4 linked regions of the Anolis sagrei genome follow. The protein of the gene in region 2 purifies or fractionates together with the protein of the main gene of each other region. This does not show direct contact. Links are inferred from orthologs where the notes say so. Each region holds a gene or a part of one and is shown on either strand. Other genes may lie near its edges.

What was found.
Region 1: the proteins of glycogen synthase kinase-3 beta-like (region 2) and AXIN2 purify together in Homo sapiens (affinity purification with mass spectrometry; 3 studies listed by BioGRID and IntAct, with this or other methods). This does not show direct contact. The link is inferred for Anolis sagrei from reciprocal best matches to the Homo sapiens genes GSK3A and AXIN2.
Region 3: the proteins of glycogen synthase kinase-3 beta-like (region 2) and PRUNE1 purify together in Homo sapiens (affinity purification with mass spectrometry; 3 studies listed by BioGRID and IntAct, with this or other methods). This does not show direct contact. The link is inferred for Anolis sagrei from reciprocal best matches to the Homo sapiens genes GSK3A and PRUNE1.
Region 4: the proteins of glycogen synthase kinase-3 beta-like (region 2) and GSKIP purify together in Homo sapiens (affinity purification with mass spectrometry; 7 studies listed by BioGRID and IntAct, with this or other methods). This does not show direct contact. The link is inferred for Anolis sagrei from reciprocal best matches to the Homo sapiens genes GSK3A and GSKIP.

Annotation. Positions count from the first base shown.
Region 1 is NC_090022.1:181,787,831-181,794,918, forward strand, and holds the start of AXIN2 (axin-2), read left to right. Parts: upstream 1-4,069; 5' UTR 4,070-4,145; intron 4,146-7,088. UniProt on the Homo sapiens protein: Inhibitor of the Wnt signaling pathway. Down-regulates beta-catenin. Probably facilitate the phosphorylation of beta-catenin and APC by GSK3B.
Region 2 is NC_090034.1:109,126,340-109,133,646, forward strand, and holds the start of glycogen synthase kinase-3 beta-like, read left to right. Parts: upstream 1-4,297; 5' UTR 4,298-4,485; coding exon 4,486-4,747; intron 4,748-7,307. UniProt on the Homo sapiens protein: Constitutively active protein kinase that acts as a negative regulator in the hormonal control of glucose homeostasis, Wnt signaling and regulation of transcription factors and microtubules, by phosphorylating and inactivating glycogen synthase (GYS1 or GYS2), CTNNB1/beta-catenin, APC and AXIN1.
Region 3 is NC_090032.1:5,173,021-5,179,938, reverse strand, and holds the start of PRUNE1 (exopolyphosphatase PRUNE1), read right to left. Parts: upstream 3,014-6,918; 5' UTR 2,799-3,013; coding exon 2,760-2,798; intron 1-2,759. UniProt on the Homo sapiens protein: Phosphodiesterase (PDE) that has higher activity toward cAMP than cGMP, as substrate. Plays a role in cell proliferation, migration and differentiation, and acts as a negative regulator of NME1. Plays a role in the regulation of neurogenesis.
Region 4 is NC_090021.1:318,912,071-318,920,003, reverse strand, and holds the start of GSKIP (GSK3B-interacting protein), read right to left. Parts: upstream 3,013-7,933; 5' UTR 3,012-3,012; coding exon 2,839-3,011; intron 1-2,838. Other genes in the region: ATG2B (autophagy-related protein 2 homolog B), read left to right, coding at 7,159-7,320. UniProt on the Homo sapiens protein: A-kinase anchoring protein for GSK3B and PKA that regulates or facilitates their kinase activity towards their targets.

The sequences.
Region 1 (7,088 bases), on a different chromosome or scaffold from region 2:
TGCTCCTGTTGACATCTGGCAACATCCTCAGAGTTACTTTTAAAACAATCTCTCATATTTTGGCTACAATTTTGCAGTGGTTCCCAACCTATGGTCCTTGGACCACCAGTGGTCCACAAGAACTAAAATATGGTCCATGGCCTCACCGTTACTACACTGTTGCAATGAAAGCGACTGGTCTCATGAAATCCTCTTATAGTGCTGAGGCTTATTAATTATAGTTTTCTGTGGGCAAGCAGATGGCCATTACTGGATGGTATGTTCTGTATCAGAAACTAGAGTAGATGTGGTCTATCCAATGCAGTTTTCTGAATCAGCACCCCAAATAACCAAACAAGATCTAAAGTTGACCACAAACTGGTTCGTAACCCTTTTGGTGCTAATGTTGTAGAGTGGTCCCTGGTCAAAGTGGTCTCCGGTCAAAGTGGTCCTTGGTCAAAAAAAGATTGGGAACCACTGGTTTCAAGGAACTGTTGGAGCCAAATTTCCAGGGAGCAGAACTTGGAAACCTTTTCCAGACATTTCCCACTAGGTATAATTGTTTGTCTCTTCTCCTTTCCAACATAGGATTCAAGGGAGCTACCAACAAGATTAAGACACATACAACATTGTCTATCATATTAAAACATCAGTTTAATTCAAAACAGTAAGTCATTTTTAAAAATAACAACAAAGAGGTGTTTAATGAGACCCAACCCATTAAAATGAACTCTTCCGCTCCGCAAAATGAGTTGATCATCAAAAGACTTTTTGAAGAAAGAGTCATTTTAAAAACACACAAACAAAACAGGCGTATTTGACATTCACAGAATCACCACCTGGCATTGCCAAAGTTGGAGCACCCAGTGGCACAATTGGTTAAATCTGTGCAGGAGTGCTGACCAATATATGTCAGCAGTTCGGATCTGAGGAGAATGGGTTGAGCTCCCTCTGTCAGCTCCAGCTCCCCATTCGGGGACGTGAGAGGAACCTCCCACAAGGATGGTCAAAGTGGTCAAAGTGGTCAAGTGGTCCCTGGTAAAAAAAAGGTTGGGAACTGTACTATACTGAACTATTTTCCACCCCTTTGAACTACCATAGTGCCGCTGAACCCCTTCTCCCCACAATCATTTAGTTCCTGGCTCAGCCCAATATAAAATAGATGAAATATGTACTCTCAACCTTGTTGGATGCCTTCAAGGCATTTCTGACTTATGGTGACCCCAAGGTGAACCTCTCATGGAGTTCATTTGGCAAGATCTGTTTGGAGGCCTTGCTGTTGATTAAATATCCATCTGGGTGGCAAGTCCTTTATTGCTATTCAAATATCCCTATCCATTTCTCATGTAGCTCCTATGTCAATAGTAATCCAATGTAGAGAAGGCTGCGAGTCTCTGGACTGTCTTCTGAATAAACATGCATAGGTTCAGATGCACCCAGATATTTCGGATTTTTGAGGTTGCACTCATCCATCAATTTCATATTATTCTGCCATTCTTTCATATATTCCCCCTCAGAAAAAGAAGTATCTAACAGCAAAAATTACTTTGGAATCTATCCAGGACAGACAAGAAGTTGCATGTGCTTGCATAATTTTTATTTAAAATAGATATTTTTCAAATATTTATTTTTTTAATAACCCAGCGTTCAGTCCACAATAAAACTATGTTCTTTATAGCCTGGAATGTGCCCGTGGTTTGTTGGACTCCCATGTCATTTGCATGCATGGGTAATGAAAAGACAATGGGACCTTACAAATCTGTGGAATTTGTGCTAATGTCTTAAGCCATGTCTGGAGTAATAAGCAATTACGTCCACATTTTGGGTGTGCTTTTAATGAGTCTATTGTCAGTTGCACAAAAGGACTGGTTGGCTGCGAGATGACCTCAACTTGCAAGCTGGAATTTGCACCAAATGTAAACCTTTTCCCTGCGATTGTTTGTTAGAAGCGGGGGGGGGGGGGGGGCAGCTTCAATACCTGGTGGATTGGGCGGGGAATTCATTGTAATGAGTTTCTTTTTCATTTTTCCTCTCTCCTCCTCTGATCCAGGGATAGCTATTTGCTATGCCATATACCCACCCACCCACTTATCCGCCCATTCAGAGTCATTTGAATGACAGAACCATATTCCACTACCAGTGGCTCGTCTAATTTGCTACAATAGCTGCGGTATGTGTGGTGCTGACATGAGAACGGGACCTTTGGTCTCCTCCACTGTAGGATGCCAACACTCTTCTCATGCCATATGCAGGCTAAAGTTTTGATACAGAATTAAGACAATAGAGTCTTCTCTTCTCACTGTTCAAAGAAGTTGCGTGCCTAATCCTCATTAATATTGTTTGGATTTGCATGTTAAAGCCTGAGGGTGCATGGATGGACAGATAGACACATACACACATAAACATTGTACTCAACCTCCTTTTTAGATCTTGTTCCCTCCCCCCCCCCCCCCCCGACTTTGTATATGCTTCCATATCAACTTATTCTCTTCTTTAGTCCACCGTTATTTATGTGTTGGTTTGATTGTTGCATCAACCATGTTGGTCATGGCATAGCTTTCCTTTTCAGAGGCATTTCTTTGTGAGTTGAGACTCACCACTAGAATACTGTCATGAATGAAAGGTTTCAATGTATTGTCGAAGGCTTTCATGGCCGGAATCACTGGGTTGTTGTAGGGTTTTTTTTGGGCTATATAGCCATGTTCTAGAGGCATTCTCTCCTGACGCTTCGCCTGCATCTATGGCAAGCATCCTCAGAGGTATTGAGGTCTGTTGGAACTAGGAAAGTGGGTTTATATATCTGTTGAATGACCAGGGTGGGACAAAGGACTTCTTTGCGGATGGTGTAAATTCTCTCTCGTAAAAGGTTGCGTTCCAGGCGGTCATAGATCCGGTGAGCTGGTGGTGTTTTGAAAGTCCTTTTGGCTGCGATAAATTGTGGGATGGTATCTGTGTCTCTGCAGCGTAGAAAGAAAGTCACCAGATCTATGACCTCCTGGAACACAACCTCTTACAAGAGAGAATTCACACCATCCGCAAATAAGTTCTTTGTCCCACCCTGGTCATTCCACAGATATATAAACCCACTTTCCTAGTTCCAACAGACCTCACTACCTCTGAGGATGCTTGCCATAGATCAGTGGTTCTCAACGTGTGGGTCCCCAGGTGATTTGGCCTACAACTCCCAGAAATCCCAGCCAGTTTAACAGCTGTTAGGATTTCTGGGAGGTGAAGGACAAAACATCTGGGGACCCACAGATTGAGAACCACTGCCATAGATGCAGGCAAAACATCAGGAGAGAATGCCTCTAGAACATGGCCATATAGCCCGAAAAAACCTACAACAACCCAGTGATTCCGGCCATGAAAGCCTTCAACAATACATTGAAGATCTCTACGGAGAGAAACTGTTCCAAGACACACGAAAATTGGAAAAACTAAGGACCAGGAAAGCACATCTACAGTGTTCCCTGACTTTCCTTCTATGCTGCAGAGACACAGATACCATCCCACAATTTCTTGCAGCCAAAAGGACTTTCAGAACACCACAGGCTCACCGGATCTATGACTGCCTGGAACGCAACCTCTTACGAGAGAGAATTCACACCATCCGCAAAGAAGTTCTTTGTCCCACCCTGGTCATTCCATAGATATATAAACCCACTTTCCTAGTTCCAACAGACCTCAATACCTCTGAGGATGCTTGCCATAGATGCAGGCGAAACATCAGGAGAGAATGCCTCTAGAACATGGCCATATAGCCCGAAAAAACCTACAACAACCCAGTGAAAGGTTTCAACCTAGGCACATGGGAAGAAGACAGTCGATGCTCCTAAATGTGTCGCGAGTGCCTTTCCCTTACTACAGAACATCTGTGGAACATCTTTAAATCCACATTTCTCAAGGTTGAAGAACATATGGCTTCAGAGAAATGGAAAACCTGTGATCTTATTTGTAAAAAATATACTTTGATTCATGTACATAAGAAAAAAAACACTGGGTGTTCTTGAGAGGAAGAAAGAGAGGGAGTGTGAGGAACTCATGTGTTTCTTTTCCCCATGTTTCCTTTATTTCAGGACACGTATGAAGGAGGAGCAGTAAGGCATCCTCTCAGAACCAAGGCAAAGAATGCACCTTTCCATCCATATCCCTCCAAACAATGACCTGTAAGTATCAGATATATTTCTTTTCTGAAAACTAATAAAAATTAAAACAATCCAGAGCCAGGCAAATATGTGGATTTGTGCAGTTCGCACATTTCCTTCCTTTTGTTGGACGGTGTCTACACACCAGTATCTTGCAAATCTGTTGATCCAACTTTCTTAAGAGTTCCTTACATTTGCAACAATGCTATTTTTCCATTGATTTTAGGGTGGTAGACTTTTAGTATTTCAGTTGATGTGGACTGCCAACTCCCATAGCCCTTTATTGCTATGGTGGTTGGCCTGATTGAAGTTATAGGCCAAAATATCCGGAAGGCTATACTTTTTCCATCCCTGGTTTATATTCAGGTTGTGTGGCAAAATTTATTATTATTTATTTATTTGCTACATTTGTATACCACCCCTCTCAGCCTGCAGGCGACTCAGGGGGGTTTACAGTCAACATCAAGACATAAGAATACAATAAAAAACAATTAAGATGATATAAAACATGATAAAATCCATAAAAATATGTGGTTTTGTCTCCCAATAAGTGAACTCTGAGATGAGGAAATTGAGTACAGACAGTGGGTTGTTATAGGGTTTTTCGGGCTATATGGCTATGGTCTAGAGGCATTCTCTCCTGACGTTTCACCTGCATCTATGGCAAGCATCGTCAGAGGTAGTAAGGATACTTGCCATAGATGCAGGCGAAATGTCAGGAGAGAATGCCTCTAGACCATGGTCATATAGCCTGAAAAACCCACCCAACAACATAGTGATTCCGGCCATAAAAGCCTTCGACAATACATTGAGTACAGACACCTTGCTGTGTGCAGTCAATGTTGGATTCTCACCAAATCCAATTGTGACGTTGCTGGCATGTTTACTTAAGCCTAAACAATGTGTAACCTACTAAACTGGGCATGGCTCACTAGCCACATAGTCTAACTTTTCAGGTGTTTGACAATCTCCCCATGCTCTAATTCGAGATAAGAAAGCCATTTTTTAAAAAAAAATGAGTGGAAGAGGAGGGAATAATCCTTGATGTGATTTTTTGAGAGGTGATAATGGTGCCAACCTCTTGGCTACGAAGCAATATCTAGGATGGCACAAAATATGAAAGAATTAATTATGGTGTCGCACTAGTTGTCCAGGCTTGCCTGAAACTCACTGTGAAGATAGGAACAAGGTAGGCACTTTCTACACTGCCATATAATCTCGATTATCAAAGTGGACAATCCACATTATCTGCGTTGAACTGGATTATATGAATCTACACTGTCATATAATCCACTTCAAAGCAGATAATCTGGATTTTATATAGCAGAGTGATTATCCCAGGAATTATAATTTCCCTCCTAGTCATTGATGGTGTAGACATGTGCAGATGTTAAGTGGTGAAGTTGGAAAGATGAATTGAGGAGATTGGTCCAGTTAACTTGTGGTGGTGCGTCTTCACATAGTTTCTGATTTATGGTGGCCCCAAGGCATTGCCAGGGGTTGGATTAGGTTGTTGTCTCTTCCAGCTCTATGGTGGTATTTATCACTAGACTTTCTTGTAAAGAGATATTCAGAAGATGTTTACCTTTGCCTTCTTCTGGGGTTGTATGACTTGCTACTATTATCATTATTGCTGCCAATGACAAAAAGAGGAGGGAGGAAGTACTCACATGCTCCCGTGGCTCTTATAAAGCTGATCCATAAACATTAAGAGGTGCTAATGCATATCTCCATGCTGTGAAAAGCATTATCACCTCCTGATGTCTACAGAGCACCTTAATGGGAAAAGGAGAAGAGGACTAGCCACAATCAACCCAGCAAGCTAAATATGCTCCTGTAAAAATTGATCCTCTGCTCATAATTTGTATGGTTTTGTCCTTGTACAAATGGTGTTAAAATTCTCATCTCATATATCATCCTAACTAATCTGTTCTAAGGTTTATTAACTACCTCTATAATAAGTTGATGTGCCGAAATCTGAATATTGTTTTTTTCATGTGTTGAAGAGGAACAATTTCACATGTGAAAAGATACACAAGGGTACTTCAATGGCTCTGATGTTAGTTGGAGGGGGGATGGATCCACACTGGTTTAGGCTGAGCTTTAGAGGAGTTATCCAAGGTGCTGGACTTATTTTGGGGAGGGAAATGCTTCAGTGTCTCAGAAAGTGATAGCATTTAAATTAAAACTGATTCATTGGTTCATCCACTGCCACCTGCAGCCAGTGTCTCAAGCAGTGGTTCCCAACCTGTGATCTGTGGACCACCAGCGATCCACAAGAACTAAAATATGGTCCGTGGCCTCATTGTTACCTACACTATTGCAACAAGAGCAACGGGTCTTGTGAAACCCTCTTACAGTGCCCAGGCTTATTAAATATGGGTTGTTGTAGGTTTTTTCGGGCTATGTGGCCATGGTCTAGAGGCATTCTCTCCTGATGTTTTGCCTGCATCTATGGCAAGCATCCTCAGAGGTAGTGAGGTCTGTTGGAACTAGGAAAAAGGGTTTATATATCTGTGGAATAACCAGGGTGAGACAAAGGACTCTTGTCTGCTGGAGCTAGGTGTGAATGTTTCAACTGACCACCTTGATTAGCATATAATGGCCTGACAGTGCCTAGAGCAAACTTTTGTTGAGAGGTGATTAGATGTCCCTGTTTGTTTCCTCTCTGTTGTTATGCTGTTGTAATTTTAGAGTTTTTTTTAATACTGGTAGCCAGATTTTGTTCATTTTCATGGTTTCCTCCTTTCTGTTGAAATTGTCCACATGCTTGTGTATTTCAGTGGCTTCTCTGTGTAGTCTGACATGGTAGTTGTGAGAGTGGTCCAGCATTTCTGTGTTCTCAAATAAAATGCTGTGTCCAGGTTGGTTCATCAAATTTTTAAATATGGTTTTCTGTGGGCAAGCCGATGGTGACTACTGGATGGCATATGTTCTGTAGCAGAAACTAGAGCTGACGTGGTC
Region 2 (7,307 bases):
CCCCGCTGGAATGCTTTGCTCTGCTTTGCTTTATGGCCTCATAAATCAGTTAATTTAGCCTCCCCACACTTTTAAGGTGGTACCTTATTTTCCTACTTGACAGATGCAACTGTCTTTCAGGTTGCAAAGGTCGACAACAGGCTACACACAATTGGTTGGAAACCCACTCCAACCCGGGCTGGCTTCGAACTCATGACCTTTTGGTCAGAGTGATCTTAATGCAGCTCTGACACTCAGCCAGCTGCACCACAATCCCAGTCTTCATATGTTGATGCCTTCATATATGCTTTTCTTAGCTGTGTTTTACAGAGGAATGGGACTGAGTTGCACCCGCCTCCAGCCGAAAGGGGAGGACGGGAATACATTATCATAACTTTAAGATCGTCCGGGGAGGCCCTTCTCTCGATCCCGCCTGCATCACAAACAGGGACGAGAGACAGGGCCTTCTCAGTGGTGGCCCCTCGGATATGGAACGCCCTTCCCGAGGACATTAGATCGGCCCCCTTAACATTTTGGAAAAAAGTCAAGACTTGGTTGTTTGAATAAGCATTTGAAAATGTAAGGTAAATGACATAGGAATTGGAACAACCGGATGATGAGATTGGACAAATAGGAGACGTAATTGATGTATGTTTTTTCTGTAAATATTTTTTATTATTTTATCATGGTTTAATACATTTGTTATACATTGTTTTACAGCAGATACATATTAATATACATGGAGGTCTCTTCCAACTCTAGGATTCTAGAAGGCATCTGCTACTCTGCTGCTGAGTACGCATACCAAGAGGGGAACACATATCACCTCGCTAAAACAGTGGATGTGGCTCTTTCTCATGATCTCCAGCTCATGCCATACAACTGACACAAACCACATGGCCATGGGACATTGGGCCAAAAGGAAATGCAGGACACTCAATTGCCCAAAGGCAAACTCCAGGTATTCTTGAGAGACACGGATTATCTGGATCCGGCACAGTCTGGCTTTAGGCCGGGGCATGGTACCGAGACAGCCTTGGTCGCCTTAGTGGATGATCTTCGCCGGGAGCTCGACAGGGGGAGTGTGTCCCTGTTAGTTCTGCTGGACCTCTCAGCGGCCTTCGATACCGTCGACCACGGTATCCTTCTGGGGCGTCTTGCGGAAATGGGTCTCGGAGGTACTGTTTTGCAGTGACTCCGGTCATTTCTGGAGGGTCGTTCCCAGAAGGTGTTATTGGGGGACACCTGTTCATCCCCACAACCATTGTCTTGTGGGGTTCCACAGGGCTCTATATTATCCCCCATGCTGTTTAACATCTACATGAAGCCGCTGGGAGAGATCATCCGGAGTTTCGGGGTGCGGTGTCACCTGTACGCGGATGATGTCCAACTCTGTCACTCCTTCCCACCTGCTACTAAGGAGGCTGTCGAGGTCCTGAACCGGTGCCTGGCCGCTGTGACGGTCTGGATGAGGGCGAACAAACTGAAACTAAATCCAGACAAGACAGAGGTACTCCTGGTCAGGCGAAAGGCCGAACAGGGTATAGGGTTACAACCTGTGTTGGACGGGGTTACACTCCCGCTGAAGATGCAGGTTCGCAGCTTGGGTGTGACCCTGGATTCATCGCTGAGCCTGGAGCTAATACTAATACTTCCTTCCTTGTATTGTCGAAGGCTTTCATGGCTGGAATCACTAGGTTCTTGTAGGTTTTTTCAGGCTGTATGGCCATGGTCTAGAGGCATTCTCTCCTGACGTTTCGCCTGCATCTATGGCAAGCATCCTCAGAGGGAGTGAGGTCTGTTGGAAATAGGACAATGAGTTTATATATCTGTGGAATGGCTGGGGTGGGGCAAAGAGCTCTTCTCTGCTGGAGCTAGGTGTGAATGTTTCAGCTGACCACCTTCATTAGCATTTGAAGGCCTGGCTGAGCCTGGGGGAATCTTTTGTTGAGAGGTGTTAAGATGTGCCTGGTTGTTTCCTCTCTGTTGTTTTGCTGTTGCAATTTTAGAGTTTTTTAATACTGGTAGCCAGATTTTGTTCATTGAACAAAACAACAGCAAAATAACAGAGAGGAAACAAACAAGGACATCTAACCACCTCTCAACAAAAGATTGCTCCAGGCACTGCCAGGAAATCAAATGCTGATCAAGGTGGTCAGTTGAAACATTCACACCTAGCTGCAGCAGAGAAGAGCTCTTTGCCCCACCCCAGCCATTCCACAGATATATAAACCCATTTTCCTACTTCCAACAGACCTCACAAGCTCTGAGGATGCTTGCCATAGATGCAGGCGAAACATCAGGAGAGAATGCCTCTAGAACATGGCCATACAGCCCGGAAAAACCCACAAGAACCCAGTTATTCCGGCCACGAAAGCCTTTGACAATACAGATTCAACCTTCTTCTGTTTTTTGTAAACAGTGGTGATTGTGAGAGTGGTCCAGCATGTAATCACCTCTCAACAAAAGATTGCCCCAGGCACTGCCAGGTGGTCAGTTGAAATATTCCCACCTAGCTTCAGCAGACAAGAGTCCTTTGTCCCATCCTGGTCTTTCCACAGATATATAAACCCAATTTTCCTATTTCCAAGAGACCTCACTAACTTTGAGGAGGTTTGCCATTGATGCAGGCGAAACGTCAGGAGAGAATGCCTCTAGAACATGGCCCTATAGCCCGGAAAAAAGTACAACAACTCAAGGACATCTAATCACCTCTCAACAAAAGATTCCCCCAGACACTTCCAAGCCATCAAATTGTAATCAAGGTGGTCAGTTGAAACATTCACCCCTAGCTCCAGCAGACAAGAGTCTTTTGTCCCACCCTGGTCATTCCACAGATATATAAACCCATTGTCCTATTTCCAACAGACCTCACAACCTCTGAGGATGCTTGCCATAGATGCAGGCGAAACGTCAGGAGAGAATGCCTCTAGAACATGGCCAAATAGCCCGAAAAAACCCACAAGAACCTACTTATTATTGATTGATTGATTGATTGATTGATTTACTTCCCTTGTATACTGCTCTTCTCAGCCCTCAGGCGACTCAGAGCGGTTAACAACGAATTCAGCAGCACAAAACAGATCATTACTCAATTAAGACAGCAATATCAATTAATTCACATCAAAACATCAATACAACAATACAACAAAATAGCAATCCATCACGTCTCATCAGTAGAATCAGCATCCACTCTCATTGTCCATTAATCCATATTCCAATAGGGATACTAATAGGTTCTTGTAGGTTTTTCCGGGCTATATGGCCATGTTCTGGAGGCAATTTTTCTCCTGACGTTTCGCCTGCATCTATGGCAAGCATCCCCAGAGGTAGTGAGGTCTGTTGGAAGTAGGAAAATGGGTTTATATATCGGTGGAATGACCAGGGTGGGGCAAAGGACTCTTGTCTGCTGGGGCTAGGTGTGAATGTTTCAGCTGACCACCTTCATTAGCATTTGAAGGCCTGGCTGAGCCTGGGAAAATCTTTTGTTGAGAGGTGTTAAGATGTACCTGGTTGTTTCCTCTCTGCTATTTTGCAACATTCACACCTAGCTCCAGCAGAGAAGAGCTCTTTGCCCCACCCCAGCCATTCCACAGATATATAAACCAATTTTCTTACTTCCAACAGACCTCACTACCTCTGAGGATGCTTGCCATAGATGCAGGCGAAACGTCAGGAGAGAGTGCCTCTAGAACATGGCCATACAGCCCGAAAAAACCCACAAGAACCTAGTGATTCCAGCCATGAAAGCCTTCGGCAATACAGGGATACTAATACTTCCTTCCTGCCTGCCTTTGGGCCCGGAGCATCCAAGAGGCTGATGGGAGCGGAGTCTCCTCCCTCTCTCTCCCGCGGGACTACACCTCCCAGCAGCCCTTTCGGGGGGGGGGGCGTCCCAACCCTCACACTTCCTGCCGCGAAGCACGACGGGAGACGTAGTTTCCGCCGCCGGGTCACGAGACTCTTTCCTCCTCCTGCCTCCTGCTGCTAAGGCTGGGCGCGGGGCATGCCGGGAGCAGCAGAGCAGGGCCCGCGGCCTCCCGTCGTGCCCCGCGGCGCCCAGGCCGCAGCCCGAGCTCGCTTGCCTTCCGCCCGGGAGGGCCCTCCGCCCACACCGCCGACATGGAGCAGCGCCGAGGCGGAGCGGGAGGAACAGGGGGAGAAACAGGAGGGGGGCCCGCCCGCGCCCCTGAAGGTAGGTCGGTCTGTCAGTGTGGGAGTCGTTGCCGCGCGGCGCAGTCTGGGAAGTGTAGTCGTGCCGGGCTCGGGGGAACTCATTTCGCTCCCGTCGTGCTTTGCGGCGCCTCGGGAGGGCGGCGCGGCGCCTTCTGGGAAGCGGAGTCCGGCTGCCGGCACTGGGGCGAGAGAGTGGAGGGGACTCCATTTCCCGTGGGGCCTCGCGGCGGTGGCGGCGGCGGTGGTGGTGGTGGTGGCGACGGCCTCTCTCTCTAGATAGGGAGCCAGGCTTCTCCTCCTCCTCCTCCTTCTCCGCGTCCCGGCCTCGCCATGAGCAGCGGCAGCGCGGGCGGCTCCTCCTCGCGGCCTAGAACCAGCTCCTTCGCCGACCCCTCCAACGCGCCCCCCGCCGCCGCCGTCGCCGCCCCCAACACCTCCGCCGCCCCCTCCTCCTCCGCCGCCTCGGCCCCCCCTCCCCCGCTGCCGCCCCCCGCAGGGAGCAAGGCCGCCGGGCCCGGGCCTGGAGGAGGGGGCGGAGGAGGGGGAGGGAGCTTGTCGTCGGGGGGCTCCTTCCCGGGACTCAAGCTCGGAAGTGAGTCTGCGCGGAGAGGGGGAAAGGGGGTCTCCAGGGTCGCACCCCCCTCCCTTCACTGTTCTGTCTCTATTCCTATTATGATGAGGATTATTATGATAGATACCTGGGCCTGGGTCTCTCGCGGTGACGTCACGGGGAGGTCATTGGACTGGGGAAGGGGTCTTGAGAATCCGGGTTCAGGTTAGGGGTTAGGGGGGTGGCCCACTAAGTAAGGGAAAGGGAGGAGGAGGATCTGGTTGCCTGGCAACCGCAGACGGGAGGGGCGTGGCCCAAGTGGGGGCACGGGTGGGTGGGGGCAAAGGTGAGCTGAGCAAGGCATCTCAGGGCAGACCTTGGCCAAGACCCCCCCACACACACCGAGGGGCACCCCAGTGGTCAAGGGAGTGGAGCACACAGGCTCCTCCTGGATGGCCATCTGTTGGGGGTGCTTTGAATGGGGGCTGGGGGTAGGGGTAGGGGTGGGTGGGGGTAAAGGTGAGCAAGGCATCTCAGTGCAGACCTAGGTCAAGACCCCCCCCCCCCCCACACACACACACACACCGAGGGGCACCCCAGTGGTCAAGGGAGTGGAGCACACAGGCTGCTCCTGGATGGCCATCTGTTGGGGGTGCTTTGAATGGGGGGTGGGGGTAGGGGTGGGTGGGGTCAAAGGTCAGCAGGACATCTCAGTGCAGACCTAGGCCAAGACCCCCCCCCCCAGACACCTCAGAGAAGCACCTCAGAGAAGCACCCCCCACACACACACCTCAGAGGGACAGTGGTCAAGGGAGTGGAGCACACAGGCTCCTCCTGGGTGGCCATCTGTTGGGGGTGCTTTGAATGGGGGGGTGGGGGTAGGAGTGGAGGGGGGTAAAGGTGAGCAAGGCATCTCAGGGCAGACCTAGGCCAAGACACCCCCCCCCCCCCCCCACACACACACACACGCACCTCAGAGGGACAGTGTTCACGGGAGTGGGTCACACAGGCTCCTCCTGGATGGCCATCTGTTGGGTGTGCTTTGAATGCAATTTTCAAAGGTGAGGAGGGCATCTCAGGGCAGACCTAGGCCAAGACCCCCCCACACACACCGAGGGACACCCCAGTGGTCAAGGGAGCAGGGCACACGGGCTCCCACTGGATGGCCATCTGTTGGGGGTGCTCTGAATGGGGGGTGGGGGTGGGGGTGGGTGGGGGCAAAGGTGAGCAAGGCATCTTGGTGCAGACCTAGGCCAAGAACCCCCCCCCCCCCCCCCACACACACAGATACCTCAGAGGGAGGTGACGAGGGGGCAGCCCAGGTGGGGGTGGGTGGGGGCAAAGGTGAGCAGGACATCTCAGTGCAGCCCCCCCCCCCCCCCCACACAGACACCTCAGAGAAGCACCCCAGTGGTCAAGGGGGCAGCCTAGGTGGGGGCGGGTTGGGGCAAAGGTGAGCAGCCCTAGGCCAAGACTCCCCCCCCCCCGACACCTCAGAGAAGCACCCCAGTGGTCAAGAGAGCGGGACACACAGGCTCCTCCTGGATGGTCATCTGTTGGAGGTGCTTTGAATGCCATTTTCACACGTGGGGGTAGGGGTGGGTGGGGGCAAAGGTGAGCAGGGCATCTCAGTACAGCCCTAGGCCAAGACCCTTCTCCACCACACACACACCTCAGAGCTCAGAGGGAGGTGCCGAGGGGGCAGCCCAGGTGGGGGTGGGTGGGGGCAAAGGTGAGCAAGGCATCTCAGGGCAGCCCTAGGTCAAGACCCCCCCCCCCACAGACACCTCAGAGAAGCACCCCAGTGGTCAAGGGAGTGGGTCACACGGGCTCCTCCTGGATGACCATCTATTTGGGGTGCTTTGAATGCCATTTTCAAAAGTGAGCAAGGCATCTCAGTGCAGCCCTAGGTCAAGACCCCCCCTCCACACACACACACACACCTCAGAGGGAGGTGCTGAGGGGCACCCCAGTGGTCAAGGGAGTGGGGCACACGGGCTCCCACTGGATGGCCATCTGTTGGGAGTGCTTTGAATGCCATTTTCAAAGGTAAGCAGGGCATCTTGGTGCCCCCCTCCTTGAGTGGGAAGTTCAGTCCTAGGCCGAGCCTCAGAGGGAGATGCCGAGGGTCACTCTCTCCTCCTGAGGGGCAGCAAGGGTGGTGGTCAAGGGGCAAAGCAGGAGGGACGCAAGCCCTCCTCCAGAGACCCCGGTCTAACCCTGGAGAGAACGGGCCAGGCAAGGCAAGGGGGCCGAGGCCAGGCCCCTGACACTCCTCTTCCTTCCTTCCTTCCTTCCTTCCTTCCTTCCTTCCTTCCTTCCTCCTTGCATTATTGATAATGTTGTGTACTTTATTGTTTATGTTTTTAATTGCTTGTATTATTATTATTGCTTGTATTGTTGTGTTTGGGCTCGGCCTCTTGTAAGCCGTACCGAGTCCCTTGGGGAAATGGTGGTAGCGGGGTACAAATAAAGTGTTGTTGTTATTATTATTATTATTGTTGTTGTTGTTGTGTTTGGGCTCGGCCTCATGTAAGCCGTACCGAGTCCCTTGGGGAAATGGTGGTAGCGGGGTACAAATAACGTGTTGTTATTATTGTTG
Region 3 (6,918 bases), on a different chromosome or scaffold from region 2:
GAGTGATTGTGTTTGCTATGTACTAATTTTGTTGTGTACATAATAATAATAATAATAATAATAATAATAATAATCCAATACAACAGACAGCAGAGCGATCTTGTTTGCTGTGTACTAATTTTGTTGTGCATAATAATAATAACAATAATAATAATCCAATATAACAGCTAGCAGAGTGTCTGCTGTGGACTCATCTTGTTGTGATTCAAAACATTATTATTATTATTATTATTATTATTATTATTATTATGATAGATCACCCTATCTCCCGACCGCCATCTCCCAAAGCAGTTGCTCTACTCAAGAAAAGGGAATGTTGGTGGGCAGGAAAATAGATTTACAGATGGGCTCAAAGCCAACCTTAAAAACTGGCATAGACACTGAGAACTGGGAAGCCCCAGCCCTTGAGCACTCCAGCTAGAGGTCAGCTGTGACCAGCAGTGCTGTAGAATTTGAAGAGGCACGAATGGAGGGCGAAAGAGAGAAACATGCCAGGAGAACCCACCGCCAGAACACCGATCTTGGAAGACAATGAGGGATCACCTAAATAAGTACTAAATGTCAGGAATAACTTGAAGGCACACAACCACAAGAAAATCCAAACCAACAACAACAAACCATTCAAAAGAAACAGAGGTAGCTAGAAGAACAGAAAATAACCAGCCGAAATGCATTTCCATGTTGTTTGAGCCAAGAGCAAAGACTTTGTCTTGAGGTTCAAGGGTGGGGACTTTCTTTTGGCCAAAGGAATGAATCCAATCCCAGAGAAGTTATCAGGAGCCACATTCCAGGGATGGGTGAGACTAAAAATACCAGTGCATGTTAGCCTCCAGCTCTTAGAACTATTACTTATGCCTCTGGGGTGGAATGCTGGCCATTTAAAACAAGGGCAGGGAAATATTTAAAAACAGAGACGCCTCCAAACAAGGATACTATGGTGAAGTCTGAAAAAAGTACAGAGCCCTGGAGGGGCTTAACAACTATATTATCTCTCAAACGTAAAGTGCTTAGACAGAAAGAACATTTGTTCTTTTCAATGATAATTATTACAATTGATAGAGAAAATATAACTTTTATGTTATGTTTATTAAGTTCTGCAAAACAACAGCTCATTCTTAGGGTAAGACAATATTTGATTTACAATGTAGACCCAGATCCATGCTCTATATGTTTTAGTAAATACTATTCTGTCTGTCTTGTTATAATAATGGGCACCCTATGGCTGTCCAGATATTATTAAACTATTATGCCCATCATTTTGACCACTGGCATACATATTTCCAAATCGTAGGGGGTGGATATGCGCACTCTATATACATATAGGTGCATACACATACCATATGTGTGCCCTATATACATGTATGTATATGTGTATACACACTATATATGTGCCCTATATACATGCGTGTTTATGTATCTATACTATATACATATATGTATATGCACAATTTGCACCCTATATGTGTGTATATGCACTATATACATGTATGTGTGGATACACACAATTAATGTGTGTGGGTATATATATACACACACATACACACTATATATAGAGAGGGGGGGCACACTGTACACATGTATATGGGGTACACATATAGTGTGCATACACACAGTATATGTGTGCCCTATATGCATATGTATATATGTACACTATATACATGTGGATGCACACCATATGTGTACCCCACATACATGTGTACAGTGTGCCCTATATACATGTGTACCTGTATGCTATATATGTGTATACACTATATACACTGATGTATGTGTTATGTATACACGTGTGTACATATATGCAAATTATGTGTATACATATACATAAACTATATACGTGTGCCGTGTGTGTATATATACATTATATACATGTGTGCATAGGTACAGTATACGTGTGCCCTATATACGTTTGTGTGTATATATATACACAACTATATAAATGTATGTGTGCATACACAGTATATGTGTGCTCTATAAACATATGTATTTATGTACACTATATACATGTCTACACTTATGTGTATTCACACTGTGCCTTATATACATGTGTGTATATGTATGCTATATATGTGTGTATTCACTACATGGACTGCGAGAAGATCCAACCAGTCCATCCTCCAGGAAATAAAGCCCGACTGCTCATTGGAGGGAAGGAGACTAGAGACAAAGTTGAAGTCCTTTGGCCACATCATGAGAAGACAGCAAAGCCTAGAGAAGACAATGATGCTGGGGAAAGTGGAAGGCAAAAGGAAGAGGGGCCGACCAAGGACAAGATGGATGGATGGCATCCTTGAAGTGACTGGACTGACCTTGAAGGAGCTGGGGGTGGTGACGGCCGACAGGGAGCTCTGGCGTGGAATGGTCCATGAGGTCACGAAGGGTCGGAGACGACTGAACGAATGAACAACAACAATTCACTACATACACTGATGTGTACATATAAACTATACAGTATGTACATATATGTAAACTACATGTGTACACATGTATCCTATATAGGAGGCATGGGCAAACCTCGGCCCTATAGGTTTTGGACTTCCATAATTCCTACGAGTCGGTAGGATGCTGGGAATTGTGGGAGTTGGAAATCCAAAACACCTGGAAGGCCAAAGTTTGCCCATGCCTGCTGTATACATATGTGTGTGTGTGTATATATATATATATGCACACTCTGTATTTGTATATGTGTGTGTATGTGCCCATTCCAAAGGTAGGCCCTACCTGAGGCCTGGCCCCCTTGCTCCCCTGAGTCCTGCACCCAATACCTGCAGCGCGGCCTTGCAGCCCTCGAGGAAGCCTTCCATGGCGGCTGAGGGAGAAGAGAGGCCCCCCTTCCGTCCCGCAAAGGCTGCCGGGGAAAAGGAAGGGCCTCCGGGGCTTTAAATAGGCGTGGGGCGGCGGGGAGAGGCCTAGAGCCGTGCCTAACCGTGTTTGTGCGGACTCTGAAACCCACTCGGCGGCCATTTTGGAAGGCCGTGCGAAATGACCGTTGCGGCGCATGCGCAGTTCGCCACGCAGCCCATCCTCTCCTCTTTGGCAAGGTTGAGTGCGCATGCGTACGACACTTTTTTCTCTCTCCTTGGCAAGGCTGAGCGCGCATGCGTAGAACACTTTTCTCTCTCTCCTTGGGAAGGCTGAGTGCGCATGCGTACATGTTGCTCTCTCTTCCTTTGGCAAAGCTGACCACGCATGCGTAGAACACTTTTCTCTCTCTCCTTGGCAAGGCTGAGCGCGCATGCGTAGAACACGTTGTTATCTCTCCCTCTTTGGCAAGGCTGAGCGCGCATGCGTAGAACACTTTCTCCTAGGCAAGGCTAAGCGCGCATGCATAGAACACTTTCTCTCTCCTTGGCAAGGCTGAGCGCGCATGCGTACAACACGTTGCTCTATCTCCCTCTTTGGCAAGGCTGAGCGCGCATGCGTAGAACACGTTGCTCGCTCTATCCCCTTTCGAAAGGCTGAGCGCGCGTGCGTAGAACACGCTCTTTCTCCCTCTTTGGCAATGCTGAGCGCGCATGCGTAGAACACATTGCTCTCTCTCCTTGGCAAGGCTGAGCGCGCATGCGTAGAACACTTCTCTCTCCTTGGCAAGGCTGAGCGCGCATGCGTAGAACACGTTGCCCGCTCTATTCCCCTTTCGAAAGGCTGAGCGCGCGTGCGTAGAACACGCTCTCGCTCCCTCTTTGGCAAGACTGAGCGCGCATGTGTAGAACACGTTGTTCTCTCTCTCCCCCTTTCGCAAGGCTGAGTGCGCATGCGTACAACACGTTGCTCTCTCTCTCTCTCTCTCTCTCTCTCCCCCCCGCCAACGACTTGGCTCCCAATTGGAGCGTTCGGAAAGGGGCGTGGCCTAACACGTTCAATGGCTGTCACTCCGGCAACCATAGACTAGAATCAGTTAGAGAGAGTTAGAGAGAGAGAGAAGAGAAAGGTTGCGAGTTCGAATCTCTCCTGGGCTGAAATCCTGTATACTGTAAATATACATAATAATAATAATAATAATAATAATAATAATAATAACAAAATGTAATGTTAGTATATTTATATTTAATAATATATTTTACACAAATATATTAATATTATTATATTATATGATATTAATAATATAATATATTAATATTAATATATTTGTGTATTTATAATGTAATAATATTATAAATAATTTATTTATATAATAACAATATAAAGTATATAATTATCAAATAATATGAATAATATAAATACACAAATATATTTATATTATTATATTTTATTTATAATATAATAACATTAATATATTTGTGTATTTATAATTTAATATTACTATCAATATATTTCTATATCAATAATATAAAATATATCATTATCAAATAATATCAATAATACAAATACATAAATATATTTATATTATTATATTATTTATAATGTAATATAATAATATTAATATATTTGTGTATTTATAATGTAATATTATTTTTAATAATATATTTATACATTAACAATATAAAATATATAATTATCAAACAATATGAATAATATAAATACACATATTTGTGTATTTATATTATTCATATTGTTTGATAATGATATAATTTATATTATTGATATATAAATATATTGATAATAATATTACATTATAAATACACAAATATATTAATATTATTATATTATATTATAAATAATATATTAATATTATTATATTATATTATAAATAATATATTAATATTAATATTATATTATAAATAATATATTAATATTAATATATTTGTGTATTTATATTATTCATATTATTTGATAATTATATATTTCATATTATTGATATAGAAATATATTATTAATAATAATAATATATTATAAATACACAAATATATTAATATTATTATATTATAAATAATGTAATAATATTAATATATTATATTATAAATAATATAATATTATTAATATATTTGTGTATTTATAATGTAATATTATTATCAATATATTTATATATCAATAATATAATATAAAATATATCATTATCAAACAATATGAATAATTATAAGTAAGGTAAATAAATAAATAAATATATTTTATATTATTGATATATAAATATATTGATAATAATATTACATTATAAATACACAAATATATTAATATTATTATATTATTTATAATATAATATATTAATATTATTACATTATTATAATATATGTAATATATTATAACAATATATTATATAATATATTATATATAATATAATAATATATGAATAATATAAATACCCAATAATATAAATATATTATCAATATATTTATATATCAATAATATAATATAAAATATATCATTATCAAACAATATGAATAATTACAAGTAAGGTAAATAAATAAATAAATATATTTTATATTATTGATATATAAATATATAAATATATTGATAGTAATATTACATTATAAATACACAAATATATTACCAATATTGTTATTATATTTTATTATAACTATATAAATATAATAATATATTTTATAATGATACCTTATAAAACAATAATAGTAGGAATAGCATTCATTTGTAATTTTTTTAGTATTATTTTTTAATTATTTTCCATTTCAGACACTTGTTTCCCATTCAGATGGAGGATAGGATTTGCAATATTCTCCTGCCATGAGTCCTCCAGCCCTGTAGATGTCCCTGTAGGAAAGAAAGGAAAACCAAAAAAGGAGGAGGAGGAAAAAAAGAAGAGGAGAGGAGAAGAAGAAATAAAGGTGTGTTTCCTTTCTCTTCCAGCCTTGGATCCTTGGAGGAAGGAGGAAGCAAAGCAAAGCAAAGCAAGCAAGCAACAAAGCAAACTCCCAGGCAAAGCATTTGCAAGGAATGCAAGCAAGCATGGCAAAGGTAAAGTATTATTATTATTATTATTATTATTATTATTATTATTATTATTATTTAGCTATATACCTCAATATGCCTTGTTGTGGGTTCTAAAATCCAAAAGATCTGGACTGATCCCTTTCAAATTTTGCAAAATGCAGCAAAGGAAAGAAAATACCCTGTTGTTTATTCCAGATTTCTCCATTGGAAACCATTGCAAAAATAGGTTAATAATAATAATAATAATAATAATAATAAGTGTAGCTACCAAAAACAAGGATGTATCAATTGTGGGGGGAAAAATCTACTTTGGCTTTTTTATTCTTCCTGTTGTTTATTCCCAATTTCTCCACTGGAAACCATTGCAAAGTTAGGATTATTATTATTATTATTATTATACTAATAATAATAATGTGTAACTACCCAAAAAAGGATGTATCAATTGTGGGGGGAAAAATCCAGCATATATATCTCCTTTGCTGGACATATGGTGTTATTGTGTCGGTAAAATAACAAAAATAACAATAATAATAATAATAATAATAATAATAATAATAACAATAATACTAATATAAATTAGACACTTGGGAAGTGTCCGATGTGTGATCCAATGTGACAGCCTTGTTTGCTGTGTACTAATGCAAAGATAGGTTAATAATAATAATAATAAGTGTAGCTACCAAAAACAAGGATGTATCAGTTGTGGGGGGGGAAATCCAGAATATATATATCTCTCATTTGCTGTGACATAGGGTATTTTTTGTCAGTAAAATAATAATAATAACAATAGCAATAATAATAATAATAATAATAATAATAATAATAATATAAATTAGACACTTGGGAACTGTCCGATGTGTGATCCAATACGACAGCCTTGTTTACTGTGTACTAATCTTTTTGTGTTTCAAGTAATAATATATATATATATATATAATTATTATAATATTATGTATGTATATATAATACACACACACACATAATATTATATATATTATGTGTGTGTGTGTGTGTGTGTATATAATATTGTAATGAATATATCTATAACAATATATTTTATATAAAATTATAAAGGTATATTATTGTCTTTCAAGTAAT
Region 4 (7,933 bases), on a different chromosome or scaffold from region 2:
GTCCTCTGGACTATTGGCTATCCCTCCCAATTTGGTGTCGTCTGCAAACTTGATGATCATGCCTTCTAGCCCTTCATCTAAGTCATTAATAAAGATGTTGAACAGGACCGGGCCCAGGACGGAACCCTGCGGCACTCCACTTGTCACTTCTTTCCAAGATGAAGAGGAAGCATTAGTGAGCACTCTCTGTGTTCGTCCACTTAACCAATTACAGATCCACCTCACCGTAGTTTTGCCTAGCCCACATTGGACAAGTTTCCTTGCCAGAAGGTCATGGGGGACCTTGTCGAAGGCCTTACTGAAATCCAGGTACGCTACATCCACGGCATTCCCTGCATCTACCCAGCTTGTAGCTCTATCGAAAAAAGAGATCAGATTAGTCTGACATGACTTGTTTTTGATAAATCCATGTTGACTATTAGCGATGACTGCATTTGTTTCTAAGTGTTTGCAGACCACTTCCTTAACAATCTTTTCCAGAATCTTGCCCGGTATCGACGTGAGGCTGGCCGGACGGTAGTTGTTTGGGTCATCCTTTTTTCCCTATTTACTTTATTTTTGCTTATGCCCAGGATGGGTCGTCTATTGAAAAGGAAGCCAGAAGTTTATTTATTTATGACATTCTACCCCGTCTTTCTCACCCTGGAGGAGAATCAAGGCAGCTTTATATACAGGCAACACTTTGAGGCCCTAAAACACAATGTACACTTAAATAAATATTAAAATAGAATTTAAAAGTACATTAAAACAAAACATTTAAAAACAATACATTAAGAGTTGAACACATAAACCCACAAGAGTAATCTGGGCTGTTTCAATGGTCACTGCACATAAATCCAACTCCATTTATTGAACAAGTTCTTTAAAGGCTTGGTCACAAAGCCACATTTTCAATCTTTTGCAGGTCAGAAGGGAGGGGGCTGATCTAACAGGGAGTTCCACAGTCCAGGGGCCACCACTGAGAAGGCCCTATCTCTAGTCTCCGCCAATCGTGCCTGTGAGGGAGACGGGACCGAGAGCAGGGCTTCCCCAGATGATCTTAAACTCCATGGTGGTTCATTGAAGGAGATACGTTCAGACAGAAAAGCTGAGTCAGAACTGTTTAGAGATTTATAGTATAAAGCCAGAACTTTGAATTGTGCTCAGTAGCAGATTGGCAGCCAGTGAAGCCTGTGGAGTTGACGTAACAGGGGGTTGTATGCTCCCTGTATGCTGCTCTGGTGAGCAATCTGGCTACCATCCGTTGGACCATTTGCAGCTTCTGAACAGTCTTCAAAGGCAGCCCCACGTTAACTATCTTCCTCTTTTTGAAGGTGTCTTCAGATCTCAACAGCTGTACAATTTATTATTTATTTCATGCATTTCTACCCCGCCCTTCTCCCCCCAAAGGGGGAATCAGGGCGGCCTCACATAAGTATCATATGATGCTATCAGCATATAAACAATCAAAATTTACCTTTAAAACAGCAAAAAATCATTAAAACACATTATACAAATTCATTAAACAATAAACATGTCAGTAAAACAAAGCCCAAATCAGGGTAAATCCAATGTTGCAGATATCCTAAGTTTTCTTGCCAATTGCCGCTGTCCACTAATTGAACGCCTAGTCCCAAAGCCAAGTCTTCAGTTGTCTTCTAAAGGACAGGAGGGAGGTGGCCAACCTGATGTCCTTAGGGAGAGAGTTCCACAGATGGGGGGCCACTGTCGAGATGGCCCTGTCTCTTGTCCCCACCAACCGCGTTTGCGAAAGTGGTGGGATCGAAAGCAAGGCCTCTCCTGATGATCTTAAGATTCATAATGGTTCGTAACAGGAGATACATTTGGGCAGGTAATCTGGGCCAGACCAATCTAAATCTCCTTATAAACAAGGGTCCTCAAACGTTTTAAAGAGAGGGCCAGGTCACAGTTCCTCAAACTGTTGGAGGGCCGGATTATAATTTGAAAATGAATGATTCCTATGCACACTGCACATATCGTACTTGCAGTGCACTTATAAACAATACAATAATTAAAATGAAGAACAAATTTAACAAATATAAACTTATTAGTATGTCAATGGGAAGTGTGGGCCTGCTTTTGGCTGATATCGTTGTTGTTATTGTTATGTTCTTTCAAGTCATTGCAGACTTAGGTTGACCCTGAGCGAGGGCCGGGTAAATGACCTAGGAGGTCATTTGCGGACCCCTGTCATTTGCAGACCCCTGTTATAGACAATAAACAACCAAGGTCTTCATTCAGATATCATTGTTGTTATGTGCTTTCAAGTCATTTCAGACTTAAGTTGACCCTGAGCGAAGGCTGGGTAAATGACCTTGGAGGGCCGTATCCAGCCCCCGGGCCTTAGTTTGAGGACCCCTGTTATAAACAATAAACAATCAAGGTCTCCAATCGCAATTGCCTCCTATAAATGAATGCAGCTTGACATCACGTCACCTTCCTTGCCTCAATATTATACAATCGCAGGGCTTGAAGTTTTAAGAGGTCTTTAGCCTTCTCTGCCAGAGAGTGCTGTTGTATCACCAAACTACAAATCCCAGGATTCCATAACATTGAGCCAAGGCAGTAAAGTGGTGTCAAACTACATTAACTGTAGTCTAGACCAGGTATGGGCAAGCTTGGGCCCTCCAGGTGTTTTGGACTTCAACTCCCACCATTCCTAAGAGCCTCAGGCCCTTTCCTTTTCCCACTCAGCCGCTAAGCGGCTGAGTGGGAAAAGGAAAGGGCCTGAGGCTGTTAGGAATGGTGGGAGTTGAAGTCCAAAACACCTGGAGGGCCCAGGTTTGCCCATACCTGGTCTAGATGTACCCAATCCCGCTCTCGCCACGAGGTACCTACACACCAGTGCATCCCTTTCCTGGCCAGCGAGTATTTATGGCCTCTCTTCCACTCCCAAAGAGACAGCTAAGGAAAAGGCGCCTTCCCTCAGGCTCCGTCCAAGGCGACTGAAGGCGAGGCGCCTCTTCCGCTCTCTTTTCCCTCCTCCCGCTCGCCCCAGTCACGTGATTCATTAGTCAAAGAGTTCTAGGCTCGCCGACAGAGAGACGTGTGAAGAGTCTTCCGGCTCCCAAGCGGCTATGTTCCAGAAGAAGGGAGAAACCTGTCTGTACAAAACTATTCAAAACTGATTTGCTTTAAGTTTTTCGGGCTGTATGGTCATGTTCCAAAAGCATTCACTCCTGACGTTTCGCCTGCACCTATGGCAGGTATCCTCAGAGCTTGTGAGGTCTGTTGGAAACTACTTTGCTTACTTGTCTGAGTAGGATTGTCTTCCAAGATCGGTGTACTGGCGGTATGTCCGTAGGTGACTATGGAGTCTTGATCTGCAAGTTCTCCCACAGTGAGGGCATTCGTTTCCAAGTGGAATGTGGTCCCGGTTGGGGTTGGCTTGACGCACCTTCCTCTTGGCACGTTTCTCTCTTTCGCCCTCCAGGTGTTAACCTATAAAGCCCTAAACGACTCCGGCCCTGTTTACCTCTCTGAACGTATTCTCCCTTACAAACCATCAAGATTATTAAGATCGTCTGGAGAGGCCCTGCTCTTGGTCCCACCGGCCGCACAGGCGCGTCTGGTGGGGACGAGGGACAGGGTCTTCTCGGTGGTGGCCCCGCGACTCTGGAACTCTCTCCCACCGGAGGTCAGAACCACCCCATCTATCCTGACATTTAGGAAACGGGTGAAGACGTGGTTGTGGAGACAGGCTTTCGATGAATGAGACAACACCCTAGGATTTTGGATGGATTTTGGATGGATGATGATGTATATTTGATTTTAATATGACGACTGACCACCGTAGTTTTAAATATATTGTTATTTTAAATGTGTTACTGTAATTGTGAACTATGATATTTTACTGATTGTATGTGTTTTATGGTTGGAAACTGGGTTGAGTCCCTCAATGAGGTGAGAAGATCGGTATAGAAAACTTTGAAATAAATAAAAAAAAAATTCCTACCTCTTCAGATTTTACAGCACTGCTGGTCACAGCTGATCTCCAGCTGGAGCGCTCAAGGGCCACAGCTTCTCCGTTCTCAGTGTCTATGCCAGAGTTTTTAAGGTTGGCTTTGAGCCCATCTTTAAATGTCTTTTCCTGCCCACCAACATTCTGTTTTCTGTTCTTGAGTTTGGAGTAGAGCAACTGCTTTGGGAGATGGTGGTCGGGCATCTGGACAATGTGGTCGGTCCAGCGAGGTTGATGTTGGAGGACCATCGCTTCAATGCTGGTGGTCTTTGCTTCTTCCAACACGCTGACATTTGTCCGCTTGTTTTCCCAAGAGATTTGTAGAACTCTTTGGATGCAACATTGATGGAATCGTTCTAGGAGTTGCATGTTACGTCTGTAGACAGTCCACGTCTCGCAGGCGTATAGCAGGGTTGGGAGGACAATAGCTTTATAAACAAGCACCTTGGTATCCCTGTGGATGTCCAGTCCTCAAACACTCTCTGCTTCATTTGGAAACATGCTGCACTCGCATTGCTCAGGCAGTGTTGTATTTCAGTGTCAATGTTGACTTTTGTGGAGAGATGGCTGCCAAAGTGGTGGAAATGGTTGACATTTTCTAATGTTACACCATTAAGCTGTATCTCTAGCATTGCAGATTGGTTGACTGATGACTGCTGGAAGAGCACTTTGTTTTTCTCTATGTTCAGTGAGAAGCCGAGCTTCTCGTACACTTCTGTGAAGGTGTTTAGAGTGGCTTGTAGGTCTTCTTCTGAATGCGCACAGACGACGTTGTCATCTAGGAAAATGGGGTTTATATATCTGTAGAATGTCCAGGGTGGGAGAAAGAACTCCGGTCTGTTGGAGACAGGTGTGAATGTTGCAATTGGCCGCCTTGATTAGGATTTAATGGCCTAGCAGTTTTCAAGGTCTGGCTTCTTACTGCCTGGGGGAGTCCTTTGTTTAGAGGTGATTAGGTGTCCCTGATTGTTTCATGTCTAGAGTTCCCCTGTTTTGAATGTTGTTAGGATTTTAGACGTTTTTTAAATTCTGGTAGCCAGATTTTGTTCATTTTCATGGTTTCCTCCTTTCTATTGAAATTGTCCACATGCTTGTGGATTTCAGTGGCATCTCTGTGTAGTCTGACATGGTGGTTGTGAGAGTGGTCCAGCATTTCTGCGTTCTCAAATAAAATGCTGTGTCCAGGTTGGTTCATCAGGTGCTCTGCTATGGCTGACTTCTCTGGTTGAAGTAGTCTGCAGTGCCTTTCATGTTCCTTGATTCGTGTTTGGGCAATGCTGCATTTGGTAGTCCCTATGTAGACTTGTCCACAGCTGCATGGTACACAGTAGACTCCTGCAGAAGCGAGAGGATCCCTCTTGTCCTTTGCTGAACGAAGCATTTGTTAGATTTCCTTGGTAGGTCTGTAGATAGTTTGTATGTTTTGTTTCCTCATCAGCTTCCCTATGCGGTCAGTGGTTCCCTTGATGTATGGCAAGAACACTTTTCCTCGGGGTGGATCTTTGTCTTTACTCTAGTGGCTTGTTCTTGGTCTTGCAGCTCTTCTGATGTCTGAGGTGGAGTATCCATCTTATTTATTTATTTGGTAGTTTTGTATACCGGTCTTCTCACCTCCATTTGAGGGACTCGGGCTGGTTTCCAACATCAATATTACAGACCGTCATTAAAACATCATATTTCTAAATCACACTAAAACATTAAAACATTGAAACAATTAAAATGGCAAAAATACAATCATATGATTACAGTGGTCAGTCGTCATCAAAGTCATTATTCGTCGTCCTCCATCCATATCACAGGATCATGGCTCATTCGTTGAATGCCAATCCCCAAAGCCAGGTTTTCACCTGTTTCCTGAACGTTAAGATCGAAGGGGCAGTTCTAATCTCCAGTGGAAGGGAGTTCCAGAGTCAAGGGGCCACCACCGAGAAGGCCCTGTCTCTCGTCCCCACCAGCCGTACCTGTGAGGCTGGTGGGATCGAGAGCAGGGCCCCTCCAGACGATCTTAGTAAACTTGATGGCTCATAGGGGAGGATACATTCGGACAGGTAAATTGGGCCGGAGTCGTCCATTGTGCCTTGATGTATTGTTTATTGCTTGTTATTAATATTGCAATGCTTAACTGTTTTTAATTTGCTTTAAGTGTTGTATTGTTATGTTGTGTTTTGAGGCCTTGGCCTATGTAAGCCACATCGAGTCCTTCGGGAGATGCTAGCGGGGTACAAATAAAGTTTAATAATAATAATAATAACATTGGCCTGTAGAGCTCAGTTGAGGTGGTTCAGTTCATCTTGGAGGAGGTGGGGTTCGCAGATTCTTTTTGCACGGTCTGCCAAGGTTTTAATGGTGCTTCTTTTTTGACTTGGGTGATGGTTGGAGTTTTTATGTAGATATTAGGCTTGGGCAATCCATGGTTCTAAATGGTTCTAAAGTACTTACAAAACTAAAGTTCTGGTGGTGAAAATTTCAGAACTCTAACAAAACTTTCAAAATTTAATTATTATTTCATTATTGGTGATTTTAATGACAGAACTAATTAGGAACTGCCATTTATTATGAAATTTTGAGAGTTTTGTTAGAGTTCTGAAATTTTCACCACCAGAACTTTAGTTTTGTAAGTACTTTAGAACCATTTAGAACCATGGATTGCCCAAGCTTAGGAGATATCTATCTACATAAGCCCATTCAGGTAAGCTCGCTGGAAGCCGGAATTCGAGGGCACAACGCACTGTTTCGACAGCTCCACCTCTACGTTCTACCAGAAGCACATGACTTTCTCCCTTCTTTTCTCCCTCGGCGGCGACCTTTGCCGGCTTGCGCGTGACGTCACAGCCGGGCGCGTGACGCCAGAAGGAGGCGCCAAGCGGAGGCCAGAACAACAACAACAACAAGAGTGGCAGCCGGGCTTTTTTCTGCGCGGAGAGAACAAGAATCCTTGAAGCTGGGCAAGACAGCGAGGAGGCGTGGCCTGGCGAGCTTCTAAGCCACGCCCCTTTCCTCCTCTCAGAGGGGGAAGATGGCGGAGGCGGCGTGAAGAGAGAGAAGGAGGAGGAGGAGGAGGCGGAATGGAGGCGCTCCTTCCTCCTTAGCCTTTGGCACCTCCAGGGAATTGAGTCGGGGAGGCCTACCTGTCTCCCTTCAAGCCTTGCCCCGTTTAGTTTCCCTCACAGCCGGCATTGCCTTGCCTTGTCGCCACCATGCCTTGGCCCTTCTCCGAATCCATCAAGAAGAGGGCCTGCCGGTACCTGCTGCAGAGGTACTTGGGCCACTTCCTCCAAGAGAAGCTGAGTCTGGAGCAGCTCACGCTGGATCTCTACCAAGGGACTGGCTCCTTGGCACAGGTGCCCCTGGATAAGTGGGTGAGTGCGCCTTTGCCCCTTTCCCCGGCTTCCCTTCTGTCACTTCAAAGGGTCATGTTTTCTTTCATATCTTTGGCTCATTTGTCTCACTGTTTGCCAGCCCAATTGGAGATCTCATTAGAACAGGCATGGGCAAACCTTGGCCCTTCAGGTGTTTTGGACTACAACTCCCACAATTCTTAACAGGATAGAATCATAGAATCAAAGAGTTGGAAGAGACCTCATGGGCCATCCAGTCCAACCCCCTGCCAAGAAGCAGGAATATTGCATGCAAATCACCCCTGACAGATGGAGCGAACCAAGACAGGTGTATTGCATTAAAAAACAAGCAAACAAACAAAACACAAACTTTATAGACGTGGTATTCTATTAAATGTCGTTTGACCACTTGGAGTTCCTCTGGTGTTGCCACAAGAAGGTCCTCCATTGTGCATGTCGCAAGGCTCAGGTTGCATTGCAGTTGGTGGTCAGTGGTTTGCTCTTCTCCACACTCACATGTCGTGGATTCCACTGTAGCCCCATTTCTTAAGGTTGGCTCTGCATCTCGTGGTGCCAGAGCGCAGTCTATTCAGCGTCTTACAAGTCGCCCAGTCTTCTGTGTGCCCAGGGGGGA